3 linked regions of the Tribolium castaneum genome follow. The protein of the gene in region 1 binds, or shares a complex with, the protein of each later gene. Links are inferred from orthologs where the notes say so. Each region holds a gene or a part of one and is shown in the gene's direction. Other genes may lie near its edges.

The links. Proteins that work in one complex are often made in the same cells at the same time.
Region 2: eIF3d1 (region 1) and eIF3l share a complex: the UniProt entries of both Drosophila melanogaster proteins name them as parts of the eukaryotic translation initiation factor 3 (eIF-3) complex. The link is inferred for Tribolium castaneum from reciprocal best matches to the Drosophila melanogaster genes eIF3d1 and eIF3l.
Region 3: eIF3d1 (region 1) and eIF3b share a complex: the UniProt entries of both Drosophila melanogaster proteins name them as parts of the eukaryotic translation initiation factor 3 (eIF-3) complex. The link is inferred for Tribolium castaneum from reciprocal best matches to the Drosophila melanogaster genes eIF3d1 and eIF3b.

What each region holds. Positions count from the first base shown.
Region 1 is NC_087399.1:4,806,765-4,814,403, forward strand, and holds eIF3d1 (eukaryotic initiation factor 3 p66 subunit), read left to right. Parts: upstream 1-2,505; 5' UTR 2,506-2,572; coding exon 2,573-2,774; intron 2,775-2,836; coding exon 2,837-3,099; intron 3,100-3,145; coding exon 3,146-3,257; intron 3,258-3,302; coding exon 3,303-3,412; intron 3,413-3,466; coding exon 3,467-3,605; intron 3,606-3,652; coding exon 3,653-3,945; intron 3,946-3,988; coding exon 3,989-4,558; 3' UTR 4,559-4,615; downstream 4,616-7,639. Other genes in the region: Sans (ankyrin repeat and SAM domain-containing protein 4B), read left to right, coding at 324-603, 654-929, 976-1,271, 1,321-1,699. UniProt on the Drosophila melanogaster protein: mRNA cap-binding component of the eukaryotic translation initiation factor 3 (eIF-3) complex, which is involved in protein synthesis of a specialized repertoire of mRNAs and, together with other initiation factors, stimulates binding of mRNA and methionyl-tRNAi to the 40S ribosome.
Region 2 is NC_087394.1:32,525,105-32,532,768, reverse strand, and holds the start of eIF3l (eukaryotic translation initiation factor 3 subunit L), read left to right. Parts: upstream 1-3,369; 5' UTR 3,370-3,453; coding exon 3,454-3,492; intron 3,493-3,629; coding exon of another isoform or gene 3,630-3,657; exon of another isoform or gene 3,658-3,712; coding exon 3,713-3,976; intron 3,977-4,103; coding exon of another isoform or gene 4,104-4,233; exon of another isoform or gene 4,234-4,488; intron 4,489-6,467; coding exon 6,468-7,664. Other genes in the region: iPLA2-VIA (85/88 kDa calcium-independent phospholipase A2), read right to left, coding at 2,318-2,620, 2,670-2,760, 2,807-3,011, 4,104-4,233. UniProt on the Drosophila melanogaster protein: Component of the eukaryotic translation initiation factor 3 (eIF-3) complex, which is involved in protein synthesis of a specialized repertoire of mRNAs and, together with other initiation factors, stimulates binding of mRNA and methionyl-tRNAi to the 40S ribosome.
Region 3 is NC_087399.1:10,620,352-10,628,224, forward strand, and holds the start of eIF3b (eukaryotic translation initiation factor 3 subunit B), read left to right. Parts: upstream 1-3,578; 5' UTR 3,579-3,625; coding exon 3,626-3,761; intron 3,762-3,973; coding exon 3,974-4,476; intron 4,477-4,535; coding exon 4,536-4,768; intron 4,769-7,873. Other genes in the region: multiple inositol polyphosphate phosphatase 1, read right to left, coding at 23-30. UniProt on the Drosophila melanogaster protein: RNA-binding component of the eukaryotic translation initiation factor 3 (eIF-3) complex, which is involved in protein synthesis of a specialized repertoire of mRNAs and, together with other initiation factors, stimulates binding of mRNA and methionyl-tRNAi to the 40S ribosome.

The sequences.
Region 1 (7,639 bases):
AGTTATTTGAAATATTTAAACCATTGTAATAACAGCAAGTGAAAGCTCACTTTTCAACATTGTAATTAGGAATAAAATTAATTTACTACCTAAGAAATTTTACTGTCAGTTATCATAAATAACACGAGATTTCTATTTTCAGATAACATTTTTATCACTTTTATCCGACTTTTATCGAGACTAACTACAAAAGAATTTGAACTCAAGGCATTTTATTTAATTTACAAAGGATAAGGTTTAATAATTGCAATTTTACTCGTTTATTATTAAAATTATTTGGTTTTGCTTAAACCGGATGGATTTTTTGTATCAATACGTTGCAGGGGAGACCCGGACAAAGCCGACCTCTTCGGCAACACGGCCCTGCACTTGGCCGCGGCGCAGGGCCACAAACACATCGTCACATTCCTAGTCAATTTCGGAGCCAACATTTACTCGACTGATATCGACGGCCGCACCGCCCAAGAACTCGCCGGAATGAACAACCGCGACGACATCCTGCGGTTCTTGGACGGCGTCCACGCCAAACTGGAGGCCGGCGACAAAAAGAAAGCCAAAGCACTCAAAGAAAAAGCAAAGAAAGAGTCAGAAAAACGCATCAAAGTAAAACACGGCCCCGTCGAGAGAAACCAATCGTTTCACTTTCTTTTCAGGAATTCAACAAACGCCAAGTCAAAAAAGAGCAAGTTCAAGAGAAGCTGGAGAAACGTATGAACAAAGGTCACCACAGGCCGTCGATGATAGAGACGCTCAAAACCAGAATTAAAAGTGGGTCCATGTCGAACTTGTCGAATCTGGGGCCGGCCCCTCCGAGGTTCAGCACCATCGTGGGCAACGGGACCGTTTCCGGGATGCGGAATTTGGGGTCGGTGCAGAAGCGGGTGCTCGCCAGCCGAACAACGCGGCCTGGCTTCGACGACGACTTCAAGGTGCTCCCGAGAGTAAATAAGCATTTATTTGAAAAACTCGTTCCAGATTAGTGAAATTGAAGACGGCAAACGCTCAGTCAGATCACTAACGGGGTATCGGCGAGACTCTGAGGTACTTTACACGGGGACCATCGATGGCAGGAGAGGCCGTCTGGAATCGGTCTTCAACGAAGCTGAGTACATAGAGTCGTCTCCGCCGCCACCACCGTCCAGCAACGGCCTCACAAGGTCCATCTCCCAGCCTGACTTCATGCACGAATTGGAAACAAACGGCGACACTAAACTCCAACAAGAACCAGCGAGTATTTTCGTGCGCCCAGGAATTGGAAGCATAGCGTTCCGGTAACAAATAATCAATATGCGAAAGCACAAAAACACGTTTTTTATTTAGAAAGAGCATAACCAACACATTCCAAGGCTTCTACTCCAGCGAAGGCCCCAACGAGGAGAGTTCAATCGGGTCAGGGGAAAGCTACGGCCCCAGAACCAACACTCTATCAATCGAAGACGAGTTATCAGACCCCGAGTCCAGCGACGACGATAACCCGAACGCTCCCCTGGAACGCTTCTTGACCGCCTGGGGGCTAGGAGAGTACCTTCCCCGCTTCGAGGAGCAGAAAATCGACCTGGAAACGCTGATGATACTGACAGAAAACGATCTCCAAAGCCTGAACTTGCCCCTAGGGCCGTACAGGAAACTTGTGACCGCTGTCAGCGAACGCAAAGCCGCGCTGGAGAATCCGGGCGAAGTCACAGACAGCATGTTGTAAATATGGAGTCAAAATGTGTTATTTATTCATTGTCGTGGACATGATAACGGTATTGCTTGTATTTTATGGGCACTTTTTGTACAGATGTGTGCCAGGCATAATATTTACAAATTCGTATTTAAATTTATTATAAATAAATGTGTGTTATGCAAATGCGAGCTTATTAAACCCACTCCTTATCAGTGTTCTCTTTGCTGAGAGAAATCTGATGTCATCGTCAATACGCAATAATAGGGGACGTAAAATATACTACGAAAAAGTGAAGTTACGTGTAGAAGAATTTGAATTCAATACAAATTTTTGCGCTGTTGCGTTCTTTGTGATGGCAATGAGTTTTTATGCAAAATAAAGTTAGTGAGACACCAAAATAGAAAAAAATAATGCCTTATTGCCATTAGAGCTTATTTTCTTGCTGTTTTTCCAAGTTAAATATTAGTTATTAACAATGCAATAAATCAATTAGGTTGTAATGGAAAAAATTTAATTTAAAATTAATTGGAAACCCAAGAGTGAAGGATTTTTAACAGGATTCCATTATTATTTAGCATCGCCAACTTACATCAAATGTCGCTGCGGATCAGGGTGACAATTTTTTTCTGAAAAAAAGTGTAGAAAAGGTAAGTGAAACAACACGTAAACAAAAATTAGAGAATTAAATTGAAAAAAAAGTGGATGAAAATGTTTTCTCAAGCGCAGCGACATTTGATGTAAGTTGGCCATGTTATTTTGATTTCAAAAGCGCCGAATTTCAAAAACTGTCGATTGTCAGAATCTGCGCGCGCACATTTCTTTTTGCCAAGTGTTGTGCACAACTCGCGGTTTCTGCTTCAACATATTGAATTGAACACTTCCTAACTTCTGAAAGCAAGTCAAATGACTATGACTGATGGTCAATCAGCGGGTGAGGTCCCCAAATTCGTGGCCCCCGTAATCCAGGACAACCCGACTGGATGGGGGCCCTGCGAGCTGCCCGACCAGTTCAAAGATATGCCGTACCAGCCCTTCAGCAAAGGCGACCGTCTCGGCAAAATCAGCGACTGGACGGGGGCCGCCTTCCAAGACAAGAAATATGCCAGTTAGTCTGACATTGACACATGTCAAATTTGAGGTTAAGTGACTTATTTTTCGCAATTTTAGACAAGTATGCGTCCCAGTTCGGTTCTGGCAGTCAATACGCGTATTATCATGACGAAGACGAGAGCACTTTTCATTTGGTGGACACAACACGCGTCCAGAAGCCCCCCTATCAACGGGGGCGCTTCCGCGCGAACCAGCGCAACTTGCGCGGGCGTGGCGGCCGTGCTGGGGTGCAAGGCAGCGGCATGCAGTCCCTCGGGAAGGGGGTTAAAGCCAGGGACACGTATAAGAGGAGCCAGGTTAAGAAATGGGGACAAGGACGGGTAAGATCTCGCTTGAGTTTTACCGCAATATAGTTGGCGGTTTTAGCCCCAGATTAAGATCAGGGACGCTTCGGTTACGGTCAAACCGGATTGGGTCACCATTGAGGAAATGGATTTCCCTCGGTTGGGAAAATTGTCGCTCCCTAACGTCAAAGACGGTTGGTTTAATTAAGCAATGCGAATTTTTCTATTTTGGTTTTTAGGCGAGGATATTACTTGTTGTGGCGAGTTGGAGTACTATGACAAGTCGTACGATCGTGTCAACGTGAAGAATGAGAAGCCGCTGCAAAGCGTCAATCGTATCTTCCATACAGTGGGTTATTTTTAATATCATTGATGGCAAAAAATTAAAATTAATTATCCTCAGGTTACAACAACTGATGATCCGATTATCCGTAAGTTGAGTAAAACGGAGGGCAATGTGTACGCCACTGATGCGATCCTTGCGACCATCATGTGCTGCACTCGCTCGAATTATTCCTGGGACATCGTGATTGAAAAAATTGGTACTGTGCCCTTACAAGTGTAACAAATCTCAAACAAAATTTTTCAGGCGATAAACTCTTCTTTGATAAGCGTGACAATACGGAGTTTGATCTTTTAACCGTCAACGAAACGTCCGTGGAGCCCCCACAAGACGACGGCAACTCCTTAAACTCCCCTCGAAACCTGGCCTTGGAAGCCACTTTCATTAACCACAATTTCAGTCAACAGGTATTAAGAACAGGTACCGGGGAGCCCCGCTTCAAGTTCGACAACCCAAACCCTTTTATCTCCGAGGAGGAGGAAGGGGAGGTCGCCAGTGTGGCCTACAGATACCGCAAATATGACCTAGGGAGCGGAATAGTAATTTTTTCGTTTTGTTTCTGTCCACGTTTAATTTGTGTAGTTTTTGGTTGTCCGTTGCGAACACGATGCCGTGGTCCAGTCCCCGAATGGCGAGCTCCAATTCCTGTCAATCAAGGCCTTGAACGAATGGGATTCCAAATTGGCCAATGGGGTGGAGTGGCGCCAGAAACTGGACACCCAGAGAGGCGCCGTTTTGGCCAATGAGCTGCGTAATAACGCCTGCAAGCTGGCCAAATGGACCGTTCAGGCGTTGCTGGCTGGCAGCGACCAAATTAAATTCGGTTATGTTTCCCGGGCCCATGTCAGGGATAACAGCAAGCATGTTATTCTGGGTACACAGCAGTATAAGCCGCACGAGTTTGCCACTCAGATTAATCTGAATATGGATAATGCGTGGGGGATTCTGCGGTGTATTATTGACATTGTTATGAAACAGAAGGATGGGAAGTATTTGATTATGAAAGATCCGAATAAGCCGATGATCCGGTTGTACGATATTCCGGATAATACGTTCGAATCGGACGGGGAGTCGGAGTCGGAGGATGAGGTGCCCCCTGATTCCGTGACTTTCCAGACCCTTTATCCATACACCAACAGTGCGAAACGCTAGATTTTGTATTTTTATCATGTATTAGCGAAAGGCCGAAATAAAATGATCAATAAATAATAATTTGCAGTTAATTCTCGTGCATAGTATTAACCAACAAGTGAAAAAAAAATAAAACGGACTCTTGTCGTGTAGCAGCAGCAAGGTGCATTTGCTCACGCATTTTTTAATTTTTTTCAACAAAGAAAGTAAAGCTGTCGTATTCACAACAAAAGAAAAATAAAGGTAAGTGCATTATTCTATTTTGTTGCGGATTTACTTTATTAGGTTTAGAATTTACTTATTCAAGATTATCAGCACATTTTTATGACGTAAGATGTCATATTATCGTATGATTCATTCTTTTTTTGTTAATACGTTCCAACATTCAATAACTAAATCAAATTAACAGTTTTATTTTTACTCGAACCCACACAATTTGAGATGTTGAAAAGTTATAATCGTTTGAGTGCAACATTTTACAACAGATTAACTACTTTATAAAATTTTCAAACTAATTTGATGACATTTGAGTTTATGATGTCGTAAAGTGTATTTTTTCAATTGCTCATCTCCAAGTGGGATTGAATATGTGATACAATTAACATATTGTAAGTGAAATGTGGAATGGTAGGTATAATAATGACATAATATTAACTTGGTTTTTATTTATTTGCAATACCTTATTGCTACATATTGTAGCGGAAGTAGATGCCATGAAGATAAGTGCACTTTAATAATTTTTTTCATTTTACAAAACATCAGCTTTTTAAACTATTTTTCCCTCGAAACTAATTTGTTATTCTTCCACGAATGAAATAATGGAGGGGGGAAAGGTTTGTTACTTTATTTTTTTTTTTTTTGAATGAACTATATAATTTATTGCCGCACTTATACAATATGTTTGTTATTGTCTTTTCCAATATCTTAAATGTTTTAGTTTTGTTTTTATCAACAACAGGAGCCCTATACCCACAGTAGTTTTCGAAATATTTCACTTATGAATTCACATTGTGGAGTTAAGCGAAATATCTTTCTAATTTTTTCAAACACATTAAGCTGTATTTTGTGAAGTAGCGTTTCCATAAAGACGCATTTGTACCCAAATGAAAAAAATAAAAGTGGTCCAAACCACTCATAAAAAACATAATTAACTGAATAAAATTGAAACTTACCAAAAAGAATTAATCCAAAAAAAAAAAAATTTGTGGTCTAGTTATACTTGTGAAAACGTTTGGCCGCTTGCTTGTTCCAGAAGGGCTTCCTGTCCCTTTGGGGCAAAGTGTTCCTCAAGTCAAACATGTTTTGCACATTTTTGCCAATTTGATTATTCCATTTTTTCTTATTACTTCCCGACGGTTCATTTCTACCAAACCCAGTTTGGTTAAATTTACGTTTATTTCTAGAAAACTCATTAAACCGGACGGGATTTCCCTCCGACAATATTTGCATAACTTCGTCCAAATGTTCCTTCACGTGTGATGACTGCGAAATTTGCATAATATCAGCCGAATCACTCGGCATTTGCAAAACCAAGGTCTCCATATTACTCTTAGATAAGACACAGCCCACGTTTTTGTCCAAATATTGGGCAATTTGGTGCCTCCAGCTGTTCAGTTTTTCCAAAACTAACAACTGGCGTTTGTGTATTTCTTCGACATTTCTACGAACCGACAAATACGCTTCATCTTCAACTTTAGGATAGAGAATCTTGCAGCAGTTATTACAATCATCAAGCACAGCCCGCAAAAGGTTCGCTTCAATCAACTCATTTTTGAGTTTGTGGTAAAACCCGATTAAGTAATGGGAGTCCACACGGGCGTAGTCTTTAAATTTGGGAGGCAGGGGCCTTCTGCGAAAATCCTGACGTTGCATTGTCTTATCCTTTGCGACGTGATAGTCCTGCAAAAGTGCGTCCAGTCCCAACTTTTTGTACCCCAGCGCTTTCATCGCGATTTGAGTGTCAAACAAGTTGACGACAAAAACACCCAAGTCCTGCTGGAGCCACTTCAGGTCATTTACCGCCGAATGAAAAATTTTCACAATGTCTGGATTGGTGAAAACTTCATTCAAGGCGTGCAACTCGTCTTTTAAGGCAATCGCATCGATGATGTAGTCTTTGTCAGGGGTCGATATCTGGACGAGACAAGTCAAAGCTTTGTAGCCATGATCCGAGTATTCAACGTCAACCCCTAACTCCTTCCAGGCTTTCAAATCGGTTATTAATTCCTCGAGACTGGTTTTCGTGTCGATGTCACACAGAGGGGTTTCCTTGAGCGTTTTGGGGGCCTCTATGTTCTCAACGCGAGACAACTGCTCAACGGTGGGCTCAAAATTGAGAAGGTGCTTGTAGGGGTGGCTTTCACACGAATCCTGGCCTAGAAAAATGTTAGAACACCCAAAACTGCGCTATTTGGTGAATACCAGCAATGTCAGCGTCACAAAATTTTTTCACAGATTCTTCATTACATGTCGTTACTTCAGCAGTCTGGACTTCAGCTTGTTGGGATTCTTCTTTTTCCATTGTTATTTCGTGCTTATGTAAGCGAGGGAAGTTAATTCTAATCACAAACTTATGACGCCGCAAAAATTAGACTAAGCTCTGCCAACATGAAAACAATAAAATGGCGAAACTCGCATTCGTTTAATTATAATTCACTTTAAATTACATCAGTCTGTAGTAATCGTTACTTGATTGAATATTTGTAAGAGCTGAAGACTTATCACCTAATAATAGTGTGATTTATCAACAAATTGGACAGTTTTTGGTCCTCCGTTTAGGGGATTTGTTTGTGACCACAGGTTGGCGGTGCTCAGCGGTGCTAAACTTTTCGACAATGATGAAGGCGGCAGGTTCAAAATGCGAGTTTATTTACTAATTGAAATATTCGCAAAAACAAACATTATTTCGGATTCAATAAAAATAAAAATAATTCTTTCACAACAATAAAGAAATTAATAGCAACGTGTGTGACAAAAGCCGGGTGTATTCCAATTTCGACTTTTGTGACGTGAATACTGCCTCTCTGGACTTCGTCTCCTCTCCCCTAGTCTGTCCAATTCTCGCAACTGACTTGAACTTGGGCCAAAATCACTGTGCTTTGT
Region 2 (7,664 bases), on another chromosome or scaffold:
ATCTGACATTTTATTTGGCAGTACTGTGAGTTGTCATAAGAAATTTATTTTGGGTTATAATTGATGACAACCAAGGACTGTTGTCAGTTTGCTTCGTTTTTTAAATAAATAATTGAACACGTTTTTATTGTAATTCTACTCAGTATCATTAGTTAAAAAAGTCGGGTCTGTCTTTCTTGCATCCTTCAAAGCATCTTTTGATACAAACTTTCTTATCAACAAAAATTATTTTCGACATTTTAAATTAATAAGCAGTAGAACTGACAACACAGCGAATTTTTGACAAGACAACGTCATAAAGACAGTACCTGACAGGACCTGAGGCCAACCTAAGAAAAATATATCTAGGCCTGCTGAGAATTTAAAACAATCGTGAACGAATAATAAGTACAGTATTATAAAAATGACAGTAAGTCATAAACAATCTCTCAAAAATCTCAAAAAATTGTATTCTTTAATAAAAAAGAAAAGAAAAGGCTAAAGAAGAAGTTTTCATTTGATTTTTAAATAATCAAATAATTTTTATACAAATTATTGTTGGAGTTACGCTTGATTTTTCATGAGAATCAAATCCAATGAAATAACTATTTATATACCAAGACAGGAAAAACATCGATTCTTCCCCGAAGATGAATTAATATTTAAAGGGAGAAAAAAGGCGCTTTCTCCAGTGCTATATATGTTTTTTTTGGCGTCTTCATCAAAAATTATTTTTTTCACCTTCCAAATATTCTATGATAGAACGTTATTTCCTCCCGAGAGAGGAAAATGAGGGTCGTAGGTGGGAAATGACGTACTTTCATGAAATATTCGGAGAGTGGAAAATGATTTTTTCACCAAAGATATTTATAATTTTTCAGATTGGTTTTGTTATATTGATTTATTTAATTTTATAGTACTGTGTATGAAAACTATTATTTATTTATTTACTTTATTACAAAATTATTTTTTTAAACAGATTTTACATTTATTTGTATTCTTCAGTCTACGGAGTTTAAGCAAGAAACGCTTTGTTCCAAAGCTTTGTTTCACTCTGTAAATACAGACGGATTCAAGTTGTTGCCAAATTTTTAGAATCAACAGAGAAAATGAAAAATCGTTCTACTTCTACGTGAATTCTATTCGTTTTCAACGTCAAAACCACTTCTATAGAAAAACTTATTTATCTCTAATCGTAGTTTGCACTTTCAAATTATAAAAAAATGTGCTTACATCGAAAGCAATTCAATTATCTCAATGTCTAAAAATATTAATATCTTGATTTTCTCAATTGATTCTATAAATTTGGTAAACAAGACTTGAATTACTCTCTAGTATAAATAGTTTTTAGTAGCCTTTTCAACTACTTGATTCACTCACATCGTTAAAAGACTAAGTTCCACTTTCAAAATTAGCTAGCTTCAAGAAAGTAAAAATTTGCTTCAAAATCGTCTGAAAAGTTTACAAAAACAAATTGAAATAAGAGAAAAACGTCTTTAACAAAAAAATTTTCAGTAATTTTCTTTACTGTTACTCATGAGAAAAGTATTACTCAAAAAATTGTCCGTGCACCATTCTTATAAAAAATGCAAACTTGTTTTAGCATTTTACAAAAACATATTCCTACAATATAGCTAATTAAAGCAGTGTTGTCTAAAAATTAAAAAACCGAATTTGTTCAAAGGCCTTCTAAATCGGAAGTTTGATAGAAAAGTAACGGATGATATTAGGATTTTTTAAATAAAATTTTAAACAATAAAAAATTCTTGAATAAATGTTCATTTCGCTATTTATTTATTTGTTCATTTATTTTTTATTAATGTTGTACTTTAAAATTAATTAAAATGTTCTTAAACCAACCCATATTGTCACATTTTACGAGTAACCTGAAACACTCGTTGGAAACGTTAAAGCAATGCCTATTAATTGTTTTTCCAATAATGTCCTTATTTGTAATACGAGTACAATCCATTCATTGATAAAATTAGGTTCCCTAAAACTAGTGATTACTTATTAGGTAAACTGATAACTTTGTTTGTCTCTAGTAGGTTTTAATAGAAATAAACATCTCGTAAATAAAATGTCAACGTTTGACCTATGAACTTTATAAATGTGTTCTCGTTTTTTATTATTTACTAGTTCAATGGAATTTTTCTATACTCTAGTGTAATATTTGATATTTTCCACATAACACAAACGAAACAATGCTCAATGGAAATGACCAAGGCCTTTACAAATGTTAAACTAAAAAAAGGTATTTAAAATCGTCAGAAAAAAATCTTTAGAATTCCTTATGTACAACTTTTCCGTATCTAATTTTGCACAATTCAATACTTACGGCAATGATATCTTTGGTGGTGCTAGCGGCGTAATGGAACACCGAATCAGAGTTGTAATCGAGATGTTCCAAAGACGCATTCGCAGCAACCAAAACTTGCACCGTCTTCAAATTCTTCGTGGTAATAGCAACTTGTAGTGGCGAGATCCCAGTTTCATCATCAGTACTATTCAAATAATTGTTAATCTTAGAGTCTTTAAAAGAATCATAGAGACTAAAATACGCCGCCAAATGGGCCAAGTTCCAAGAGGGGTGTTCCGCAAGAACGTCACAAATCTTTTGCAAACCTTGCACATTATACATCTGAAATAAAATTCCAAATAATCGTCTTTTAACAACTACAGCAAATTACTTCTTTCGAAATCTCAACAAACGTGGGTAACTTATCCTTCAAGACACAAAATTTCACTTCAGCTTCGTCAAGATTTGGCGAGCGGTATAAACTAAAAATTGATTTTTTTAACAGTTGACGTGTTCGGGGGCACAAACCTGTAGGTTTGGTGTAGGCTTTCCGTGTACGGGCGATGGAGCACAATTTCGTAAGTGGCCCCTTTTTTCTTGTCAACTGTATTAGCTGGGAGGTAGAGGACCAATCCATCTTCCCGTAGGTGAATCGCTCGGTCGGAAAAAGCGTCTGATTTGGCGTCAATCACTTTGGTTGGGGCGGGTTCTGAACTGAGGAAGCTACGTAAAACTGCAAAATGAAGAATAATATTTGTACCATCACAAAGCAGGGGATTACCACTTGTAAATCCTTGGGCAAACATTTTATTACTTAATATCTATTCATACGGTTACGAACACTAATCACTCACTGAGATTGACTACCGATCATTGTGTTTTATTTAAGAAATTTGTGATTTCATAGTTCAAGGTTTGTTCGAACGAGCAATTGGGGAATGAGGTTAAATCACCGGCTCAGTAAATTTGCATTTAGATTAACATCATGTTTATTGATCGTTTTATTTTAAAACATTTTTCTCACTTACTCAGCGGAAATACTTTTGAAAATGAGAAAAAAATGGAATTTCTTGCACCACCTCGAGTAGAAACCTGTAATTTGTAATTGTCAAACGTCAACTGGCTTCGAGGTTAAGTGCAAGACCATTTGCTCGCTATAGTGGCGTAGGCATATAATGAGTAAATTCAAAATGTTTTCCGACGATTATGAGCAAGTGAGTGCTTCAAACACCTAAAACTTGAACAATTTATCCTTAAACCTACACTGGGTTCTATAAAACTCTAGTAAAAGCTTTGCAAATTGAACCATGTGTCTCAAGCCTATTTGTAAAAGTGTGGAAATAATACCGACCTACATGTTTAGCATGCACCATTCCCATAATTCGTGGCAGCAAAATTGACAATAAATTGGACACTGATTTTCATTTATTTCAGGGTTATGAATACAACAGCTATGATGAGTATGGGGCTCACACAGGAGACCCCAACTTGGACAACGAGTACAATAAACAGCACCTAAAGATGCCGGAAATAGTCAAAAACTTCCTAATCTATTTCCGCAATTGCGTGAATGAGGGTTTAATCTTTGAGTTGCAAACTTTGTATGAAACTTCGTGGCCAAAACTAACCGAAGATTATTTCGAGAAACGCCCCTGGCCAGAAGAGTCAGAAGTGTCAGCGCTAGTCGACAGTGATCCCGTGAGTAAATCCATGACTATTTTACCTTCCGCCTCGATTTTGTCTTTCACTTGGTCTAGTATTTTACCCCCAGTTTCACTCTCCTGGACATCCTTAATTTTTTCCTTTACGTGATCAATTATTTTACCTTCTGTGCCAATGTCTTGGACGTCCTTGATTTTCTCCCTAACGTGTTCACTTTTGTCTTTGAGTTCTTCAGAGATTTTCTCTTTGAGCTCTTCTTTTTTGCTCAGGAGTTGCCTTTTGTAATGCTCCATTGCGACTGTTGGAAGCAGTAGCAGGGAAAAATGAACATAAATGGGTTTTATTATGTCTTTAGCAAAAGGACACGTCAGAAGCGACCTAATTACAAAGAAATCGCTCAATATCTATGATTCTTTGATGTCTATTGATTGTAAAGTTTTTGCTTAAATATTTATTTACGCAGCATGGGCGAAAAAAATTGGTTTAAAATAATAATAAATACGACTTTTGGTTTTGGACTTTAATAATGCGATGAATAATATTAAAATAAATAAAAATAAATAAATAAAATAAAAATAGATTTAACGACAAAAAATAAACTTTGAATAAGGTGCTTACAAGGTCATATCTTTTCTAATACTATACAGTTTCGACGAAATTCTAAATTTCATTTCATTTAAAGGTAATCGATTTCAAAATAAATAAAACAGCTTTTTCCTACATTTTTTTGAATTAGGAGTATACCAAAGTCAATAATAGACAAATACATTTCCAATAATATTTTTTCTCGAGGCTTGAGACTTCTTGAAATAAATCATAAAATTTGCTTATTAAACGAATTTTTGTTCTATAAATAAGTAAAACGCTTAACCAAGTAAATTGCATAAACAAAAAAAATTATGTTATAATCAACTGAATTAACAGAACTGTCTTCACAATTTACTAAAGAATTAACTTTGAGTATTTACCAACGAAAATTTGAATACAAAGTCTTAATTAGGCCCAAAAAAATCGTGAGAATCTTCAAAGTAGATTATTTGTTGTCCTTAAAAACTCATGATAAGATAAATAAATTGAGATCTCAACGGGAAAACTATTCAACTGTTCGTCTCTCTTTTGAAAAATAAAATATGCTTTTAAAAATATAAGAAAATCAGTGATAAATCGTAATAAATAGACGGTACCTCAAGCATTTTCCTAAAAACAATGTTTAAATTAAACCTAGGTACAGAATTTTGTTGCATAAATAAGTAAAATCGTTAATCAGTCATTTAGTTAACAAAAAAAAAAACATGTAATGAACTAAATTAACCAGGAACTACCTCCACAATCTACTAATCATATTTCTGTCAACTTCTATTTTCAAATGGCCTATCTTTTTCAAAAAGATAGTAATATTTAAAGTGATGAAATTAATTGAAATGAAAATCGTTATAAGTAATTGATTACCGACTGGACGCGTATTCGCCTAATAAAAATTGAGTTTAAAATAAGTATAAAAATCTGTGAATATTTTCGAAAGAACAAAAATATTTACTCATAATAGAAATATTATGAATGATTTTTTTACGGATTCAGGTAATACTGAGGGAGTGTATACCAAATACAGCGTGCTCAAAAACTGGCGCACCAACTCAGTGGTGTGTGGTAGAGAACTGGTTACATATAAAGGTAAAAATAGTAAAAAAAATCTTTGTATTACTGTTATTGATAAATAACTAATTTTAGGTAAATGATATGTGGCAACGTTGTCTAACAGTCATGATTGCAATAGAATTTGAGCAACAATAAAAATAAATTATTTTTGAAACGGTTTCCTAGGAAATAATTCCCAGTGTTGGCACATCTACACATTGTGATTTTTTGGATGAGTTTTAATTTTTTTTAATTAAAAAAACTGCTAAAATCTGATAGTAAATTTTAAAATAATTATTCATTGTATTGTTACGGAACGATAACCTGGTATGAAACATAGAAATATAAAAAAATAATGAAAACTAAAGAAGTTAACACAATAAGTTTGTAGCTCCAGATTTTTTAAAATATAACTTTAGAAATTTATTCAACATTTTTCCCGTAATCTGCACTTGCTTCTCAATAACGTACCACTGAGTTGGTGCGCCAGTTTTTGAGCACCCTGTATATAAAAAGTAGTGAGATTACGGACGGGACACAAAAATTTATCTTACGTAACAATTTTATTATAACATGAAAACTTTAACCAAAATAAAAAAACAACTAACAGTCATCAAAAAAAGGAACACCATTCTTGGGAAATTAAATTACGTACGTTTAACAATTAATATTTTGTCCCAAACCTATATATAATTTTTGAATTGTATTTCAGTTATTTGACACTATTTATAGGAACATAACTTCCAATTTGAAAACGCTTGATTTTGTTCACGTATAGAATTCTCTACCATTATTAATTATTAATTTTTTGGGTTCAATGATTACAAATACGTGAAAATTATTATTTTCACTTACTTCTTGCGGGAAATATCCTATGCAACCCTTCTTGCAGGTGTTCATGATCCTGTACAAAGAGCTCTACTTCCGCCACATTTACGCGCGCATTCAAGGGGGCCCAACCCTCGAGCAGCGCTTCAATTCGTTCTACAATTACTGCGACCTCTTCAACTACATCCTAAGCGCTGACGAACCGGTGCCTCTAGAACTCCCCGACTTGTGGCTATGGGAATTAATCGACGAATTCGTCTACCAATTCCAATCATTCGCCCAATACCGGGCCCGCCTTCAGAAGAAAACCGCCCAAGAACTGGAGACTCTAAACTCGCACAATAAAGTGTGGAACGTACTTTGCGTTCTGAACGTGTTGCATTCTCTGGTCGACAAGAGCAACATCAAGCAACAACTGGAGGTTTGCGCCAGTGGGGGCGACCCCGATTCGGTGGCCGGCGAGTTCGGGAGTCACTCGCTCTACAAAATGTTGGGCTATTTTTCCCTGATTGGGCTTCTGAGGCTTCACTCTCTGCTCGGGGACTACTACCAGTCGATCAAAGTGCTGGAAAACATTGAGCTGCATAAGAAGTCGCAGTATGCGCACATCCCGGCTTGCTTGATCTCAACGTCGTACTATGTGGGGTTTGGGTACATGATGATGAGGCGCTATTCTGACGCAATTCGCACGTTTTCGTCCATTCTCTTGTACATTCAGAGAACCAAGCAATTGTTTGCTTCTAAAAGTTATCAGCACGACCAGATTAACAAGCAAACGGATCAGATGTACCACTTGTTGGCCATTTGCTTGGTTTTGCACCCGCAGTGTATCGACGAATCGATCCAGCAAACTCTGAGAGAGAAAAGCTACCATGAGAAAATGTACAAGATGCAGTATGGGGACCTCCAGGAGTTTGAAAATTGTTTCGTTTTCGCTTGTCCTAAGTTTCTTTCGCCGTGTCCTCCGCCGGTGGATTCCATCCCTGATGATTATTCGAAGGAGGCGATCCGCCACCAAACTCAAGTTTTTATGGACGAGGTCCAGCAACAAAAAATGTTGCCAACGATTAGAAGTTACTTGAAGTTGTACACCACTTTGCCCATTGCCAAGTTGGCGACTTTCATGGCGCAGAATAAGAACAGTGAAGGGAAGTTTGATGTTGATAAGGAGACGCAGAATCTTTTGATTCATTTGTTGTGCTTCAAGCACAAAATGAAGAATGTGGTGTGGTCGAAGGGCTCGTCGGGGCTGGAAGGGAAG
Region 3 (7,873 bases), about 5.8 Mb from region 1:
TCTTAGGTACATAATTACTTACCTATTCATTGTAGCTTGCCGTAAAATGTTTCTATTTTGGGATAGCTTTTTGTCGAGGGTAATGGTTTCGTGACAAGGAAGTTAATGGTATGAAAAATTAAAGAAATGTTACAAATGTAATATTATGGATGTGGTTTCATAGTGACTAAAGGTTTATTGATGATAAAGCTTGTTGACCTTTTAATTCAGAAGAAGTGCAATTTACGTTTATGGCAACTTGAGTAAAGTGGGCAAACTAGCAGCACCAGAAATGACTCGTTTTTGAGCATTTTTAATTAAAATTATTTTTCTTCACACGCTATTGTTTATATAAAAAAGCTCATAATGCTTGAATTTATTAAAGATTAAAGAATAATCATTCTACCAAGCTGCGTATTACTGGTTGCGTTAAATCAATAAAATATTTTTTCGATTTATTGTAAATAACAAAACCAGACAATTTTTTATGTAAATAAATTTGTTTATTTGACTTAAGTACTATCAAAATATTTTTTTTTAAAGTAGCAGTATTAATGCAGACTGATGATTCTGTTGGCAATAAAAAGAAAATAAATAAAAAGAAATAAAATAAAGAATACCATCAGAGTACTTTTCTAGTTAACAACAATTTAACAATCTTGTGGGGTTGTACCTCAAATAAATGTTAAAGAAAACCGAATCCGGTTCAGTGTTACAAATTATGAAGAAAAATCAAATTATGAAGAAAAATTCAAATCTGTTGCCAAAAGACTCAGTATTTCTGGATCAGTCTGTAGTACTTAATTGTTAAAAACATATTCCACTACTAAAATATTGACTAAAAACCTAAATAAATCAAATTATAACATTGTTAAAAACCGTAATATTTACGACAAAGATAATATATTACTTAACCTTCCATATGTATGAACTATGAACGCAAAAAATTATAATTAAAAAAAATAAATATCTAACTAAAAAAAACTTTATCACAATTAAAATTCCAAAAAAAAATAGTTGAAAGAGCAATGTAAATCTTTCGATCATAATTTTGCTTTTCAGTTTTACAAGTTTTGTTATACTTTTCTAAAAACAATTTTTTATAATTTAAATAACGTGTTTTTGCTATTACTTGACTTACACTGATTGGCTTCTGAAATCTCCAATTAATCATTTCGAAACAAAAAATATTGTATAATTATTAATTACCTACTTACTTTCAAAAACTGCAGTATTTAATTGCATTAAAATAATTAAGTATAAATATTATTTAGTTTTTGAAAAGATGTCTTATTAAATTAGCTGTCCAATATTCTAGAAAATCGCTAATCTGAGATCGTAAAACATAAAAATATTTATAGCGCAAAAACTTAGGAGCTGTAATATTTCCACACAGCACAAATAAAATTTTGTCTTATTATACTTAAATAATAATACCTAACAAAGTTACGAATACTCAAAACTGTTGCTAAAACGTTTTGTTTAAAATTATTTTCTCAAAACATAATTACCAATTTTTATACAATTTTTAACCCCTCCCTTCAGAGTGAAATTTTTAATTTTTCTTAATTTTTCAGCAAAGATCCTATTAACAATTTTATGGTGTATCTATATTTAATAGATTTTCTGGAATTCAAACCTAAATACTCCATTTAACCTTCTAAGGAAATGGTTTTCTAAAATAATCTGTCATAATGTAATTAATAACAAAGTAATCGATTAATTTTCAATTGAATTAATATGTAATTTGTTACAGCTAATAAAAAGTAATTGTAATTACAATGTAATTGAATACAAAATAATCAGATTACATTGTAATTAGAATAATCAGTAATTGAATTATTAATTTAATTACATTGTAATCTGATTATGCCCAACTCTGGTTCATATCTTTACACAATTATTGTAGTGCCGTTTAGTTTTATTCAGTTTGTTATAATTTGCTGTTGTGAAGATACGCCTCATAAACAAAATTAGGATTTTGGGGTTTAAAAGTTTCAAATTAATTGACTAGTGCGTATTGATCGTGGTTATTTCTCCAGAGAGAAATAGAGGAAACAATCCAGATTAAAAGATTTGTCTTCAATATTTTTTTTTTAGAAAAAATACATTAAACCTGTAATACACACTCCAAAAAAGTCTGGGAATATTAGTAATTTTTTTTAATAATGAAGTTATAATTAACATATTTGGCATTTTTTTAAACGAATTGTTATTTATATTAGCGTAAGTTTAAAAAAACGCCATGAAAATGACTGTTCGCCGTTGTTTCAATTAAAGAAAAACAAAAATAAAAACTGTTATTTATAACTTGATCTTGTGTGACGTTTTTACAATTAATAAAATCAAAATTAGAATAATATTTTTGGTCACTAATACAGAGTGTAACCGTGACACTCTTGTCTAGTTCTTGTTGACAGAGTTCTTGCCGTGCTGTATTTGGAGCTGCGAATAATTCCTGATAATTTTTTTGTGAAACATTTGTCCATAAAACTCTTATTTTGAGAGTGTTCTAGACTTATTCAATAAGTATTAAGTCAGAAGATTGTTCTGGTCACAGTAAAACCAAAATTTTGTTACTTTGGTACAAATTTCTTAACCACTTAAAGTGTGCGATTGGCAATATCTTGCATAAAAGTCAAACCATCACTGTAATTTTTAATGTAAGGCAAGACAAGAGATTAAAAAATAAGATTCTTGTACCGAATTGCGGTTGAAAATAGGTTGACTTTATACCGAAAACCGAACAAATTTTAATAAAATACTGTGCGTAGTTTACGTGTCACTTAAATTTTTTAAATGGAAAATATTATATTATACCGACTACTTTAATTTTTTATTGTGCAAAAATTAATTAAATACTGATTATTTATTATTTTTTGTTGATCAAAATTACATTTATTACTGATCGCTTTGTTACTACCCAATTTAAGTGTATGTATTATATAGGTATTGCTGGTTACAACTTTATTGGCGAAAAGTTATGTTAATAAATATCATATTTAATTATTTTTCACTATCCTTAGATAAACTTCGGGTAAACAAATTATTCGTGGTATACTTAATTAGTACCAAATTACACAGTTACAATTGTTTCAACAATGTATTTTTGAAAATTTATTCCCGTAATAAATTTATTCTTCTTGGACTATTGTAAAAGCGGCCCTAACTAATGTAAAAATAATAATTTACACGAAATCAAGAAAAAAGAACACTGAATTAATCATCAATTAACTGCACCAAATTTTTGAATGAATCAAAACTCTGAAGTGATTGGTTTTGCACATTATTTTAATGGCCGACCTCAAATGGACCAATTACACCAATGAATTAAATTTTTGAATGAATCAAAAAATCGAAAATGATTGGTTTTCTGACATAATTATGATGGCCGTCCTGAAACGGCCAATGACAAGGCTTACAACTTCTACAATTTTTACAACACTTCTTACGTTAATTCATTAATCATTTATTAACCCAATTAGCAACATACAAATGAGTTTTAAGGACACAGCAGTCAAGTCCATACTTGGAAAGGGCCCAAAAGTGGTTTTTCTCCATTAAATTCATTTCTGGCGCCTTACAAAACTGTGACATTTTATTCCCGCGCGTCCTTCTTTACCGGTCGACCCTCACGCGTGTCAAAATGGCGAAAAAGAAAGTGGACGACAAAAACAGCCTTAACGGGAATAATACGAAGAACGAGAGCGATTTATCGTCCAACGATGATGAACCAAACTTCAGCGATCCCGAGGGATACGTCGACAACATCACCGATGAAGGTATTTCCCCAAAAACGCTCATTCAAAATGCGGGCATAACCATGCTGTCACTTCATTTTCAACCCTCATTTTTCGTAAAACTGTCCACTCAAACAATTAATTTTTGTTGGATTTGGCAAACCGTAGCCACGTTTTAGCATTTTCGCATCAAATATCTCGCCTGGATTGCAACATATGCGGTCGCGAAAGTGAGGTTAGGTTTGTCGTTTCAGAGCTCCTGGCCGATATTTTGAAGCAGAAGCCGAAGGAGACTGACGGTGTTGAGAGCGTGATTGTGGTCGACGGTGTCCCGCAAGTGGGCCCCGACCGTATCGAGAAATTGAAATCCGTCATTAATAAGATTTTCGTCAAGTTCGGATCCATAGTCAATGAGTACTATCCAGTGACCGAAAACGGTCACACCAAAGGCTACATTTTCCTGGAATACTCCTCTCCAGTCAACGCAGCTGAAGCCGTGAAGCTCACCAATAATTTCAAGCTTGATAAGCAGCACACTTTCCAAGTCAATCTCTTCACTGACTTTACCAAATATGAGGCGATTCCGGAGGAGTGGGACCCCCCGAAGCCGCAGCCCTACGAGGGCCAGGGGGACGTCCACCACTATTTGCTCGAGCCTGATGCTTACGACCAATTTGCCGTGGTTTTGGGACAGGGACAGTCGGTTCAAATTTGGCAAAATACGCAGCCTGATCCTTCCTTACTTGAGGAGAGACATGTAATTTTTTTAATCGTTTTGGGTTGGTTTTTTATGATTATGATTTTTTTTTGGGATAGGCTTGGACACATGCTTATATCAAGTGGTCTCCGTTAGGTACGTATTTAGCCACTTTCCATAAGCAAGGTATCGCGTTATGGGTGGGTCAGAAGTTTAGCCAATACAAAAGGTATGCCCATGCCAATGCACAATTTATTGATTTTTCGCCGTGCGAGAAGTATTTGGTGACGTACTCGCCTCAGGGAGATCCGCAGCATCCGCAACAGAAAGGGATCATTATTTGGGATATAAGGTAATTTTTATCACATTTATTATCTTAATTTGTCGTTAAACATTTGGTATTTTGAATAAACTTTCTTTGTATTTTTTGTATGACATGACCAAATCATAAAAAAAATAATGTAAGTTACATACTCTGTCCGGCAAAGTATAAAACCAAACGTTTTTTTCTAATATTTCTACTTTACGAAAAAATAGTTAGCACATTATCAAGTCTATTAACAATGTGGTCATTTTTGAATTTTTTTTTACTTTTCGAGTTTTTGATTATTTTGGTTAAAGGTTATGCTTTAAAAAATTACTTGATTCAATGTGGTATTGTTTCTGATTGGGTGTTTTTTTTTTGCGAAATTGGCCAGAAAATAAAATTTCAGCGTACTTGCTTATACTAGTATTATTTTTTCGTAAGGTAAATAGTTTACGGAAAAACGCCCTGTATTTTGTTTAGTGATTATTTTGAAATACTTGACATTCTTCTACGTGATTTACCGCACTTGTGTGTTATTTTTACGTTTAACGAGTCTAGTGCGATAACTTTCTGTTAGTGTAATTTATGTTACGGTTGTGTATGAAGGAGCGTTTCATAAATTTTAAACTTCGAATATTTGCTGCTCGTTGAATATTTACATAAAGATCTACGTAAAATATTGCTCATCTTCCTGTTATAGTTTACGGTGTTTTTTAGTGTATTCTTTATAATTGAAACGTCAGAAAATCATGCAAATTGGAAATAATTTAATTATGGTTGATACTTTGACTCTATAAAAACTTATATTAAATGAACTAAATTTTTAATAATGCATTTTAGAAAAAGGAAAAAAATTATAATTTGTCCTCTGAAATTAATTAAATTTACAAAACTAGTTTGGAAGAGAAAGTAGGAGTGAATTAATTTTAGTTCAGATTGTTACCATATGTAAAGATCAGTGTAAATATTAAATAATAAATAAATGCCTTCAAAAGTTGTTAAAATGCTACCATAAAATACTGTGCGATTGTATAAAAATATAAAACGAAAAAAATTCGGGAAAGCATTTTAAAAATGATTAGACACATTCTGTATCATAATTTCCGACTGTCTATGTGTTGTAAAGAATCGCAGAATAAAATGTATCCATTTCTATGGCATATATTAGAAAAAAGCCAACACTTCAATAATTCAGTAAAAAAATTAGATTCACTGATACCAGAGCTGATACCATAAAACTGTCAATACCTTGATACTACGATATTTTCAATACCTCGATTCTTCCGGTACCTCAATACCAACGATACTTAGGTTAGTATTGATACCTTCAGGGTTTTTTTTTTCCAATAAATACTGAAACTTTTAGCATGCAATTGAACGAAACGCAATTCTAAGAGTGATTTTCCAAACCAGTGTATCTTTGTGGGGATGCCCCCAATCTTAATTTTTTTTTATATATTTGGATTACTGAAATGATTTCTACAATGCTTTGAACTGAGAATTCGCCAATTTTGAGACACCTGTAGAGGAAAAGTGTTAATGAATTGTCAGTTTAGTTTTTTTTTTTGCATAAAACCTATTTTTAACTTTGAATTTATTTGTTTCTCTAGATGATAATATGAACTCACACAATTGTCGGTATTATTTATTTATTTTTTAAACATTTTTTCAATGTGACGAGTTTTTCTCGTATTCTAAAATAAACCAGCAGGATGTACACTTTGAAACTAGATCCCTCAATTAGATCCTCCTCCTCAGAAATTAGTTATTATTTTATTTTAAACATTGTTTGTAACCTTGGTTTAAGGGTTGGAAAAAAAATAAACAAAGTTCTATAAAAATGTACTATTACATAGGCAATTCATATACAATATGCTCAAAATTCCTCATGAAAATTTTGTTCACTGTTTTTTAACAAAAAAATAAATTGGTCAAAACTAGAGGTTTTTTCTGTGTAGTTTTAAACGAAACAAACTTTTTTGCTAAGGTTTTCATCAAGTCACAATGTTTTTTACGAAATTTAGGGTTGTTTTCCGGTAAAAATAGAACTGTTGAATTTTTTAACAGTCTTCAAATGGGAATCCAAATATTGGAAATGGATATTTATTAATTTTTTTTAATCTGATTTTAATTTAACACTTATGTATACCCTGGTTACGTCTGTTATATTTGACGGAAATGCTGTACTTTAGACCCTCTATGTAGAGGGTGTTAGGGAATGGCTTAGCAATATTGTGTAAGTGAATTTGTCATGATCAGACGAGTTAAAAACCCTTATATAATTTTTCCAAAAGGTGCGTACTTTCTTTAAAAAAAAAATATTAACCCACCTGTTGAGAGCCACTGGGCTTATGGTAGTTTATTAGCGGTTATTATTATATTTTTTTTTTTCATTAAATAAGGCAACATTTTCATTTGTGCGGAAGGTTCGAATCCCGGTCTTGGCAAAAAAAATATTTTTTCGTAAACTTTAGTAACAAAACACAAATTGAAATAGAAGAATAACGTAGTGAACCAACAAGTTATTTTAGCTCAGCTGTTTTGCCAATATTATTAGAATTTACGCTAAATTTTATAATTCTAGTTCAGCGGTTCTCAAATTTTGAGAACAAAAGTTCAGAACAAATTCTTTGAAAAACCATGCATTTTTGATTTACATAAATTTACATAAATCTTTAAATTTTTGCTAAGCCATTACCTAACACTCTGTATTTAAATAATAATAAATCATTGGCATAACTAACCTGATCTTTGATTAAATTTACCGTTTCTTTCAATTTTTTCAAACAAAAAGTTACAAATTTTATTTACTAAATACTTAATGGTACAGTAGCAGATACGGAATTTTGAGCACTTCTGTCACTTCGTAGTCGAAAGGTATGGAGTATTCCATACGTTTAAGTCAACGAAATGTCATAGGCGTCCAAAATTTCGCGTCCGCCACTGCACATATTATTTGTATTATGTTCGAAGGTTGGCAGAACTGCACTGAAGTTAAATGTGGTATTACGTTAAAGCTTTGGATAAAACAAAAAAAAGTATGTCAATTTTTCACTTTCAAAATTGAGACATTACCAGTTGGCTTAAAAATCCCTAAATCGATTAAAATAACAAAAAGTGCAAAATGGGGACAAATTACACAAAACAGTA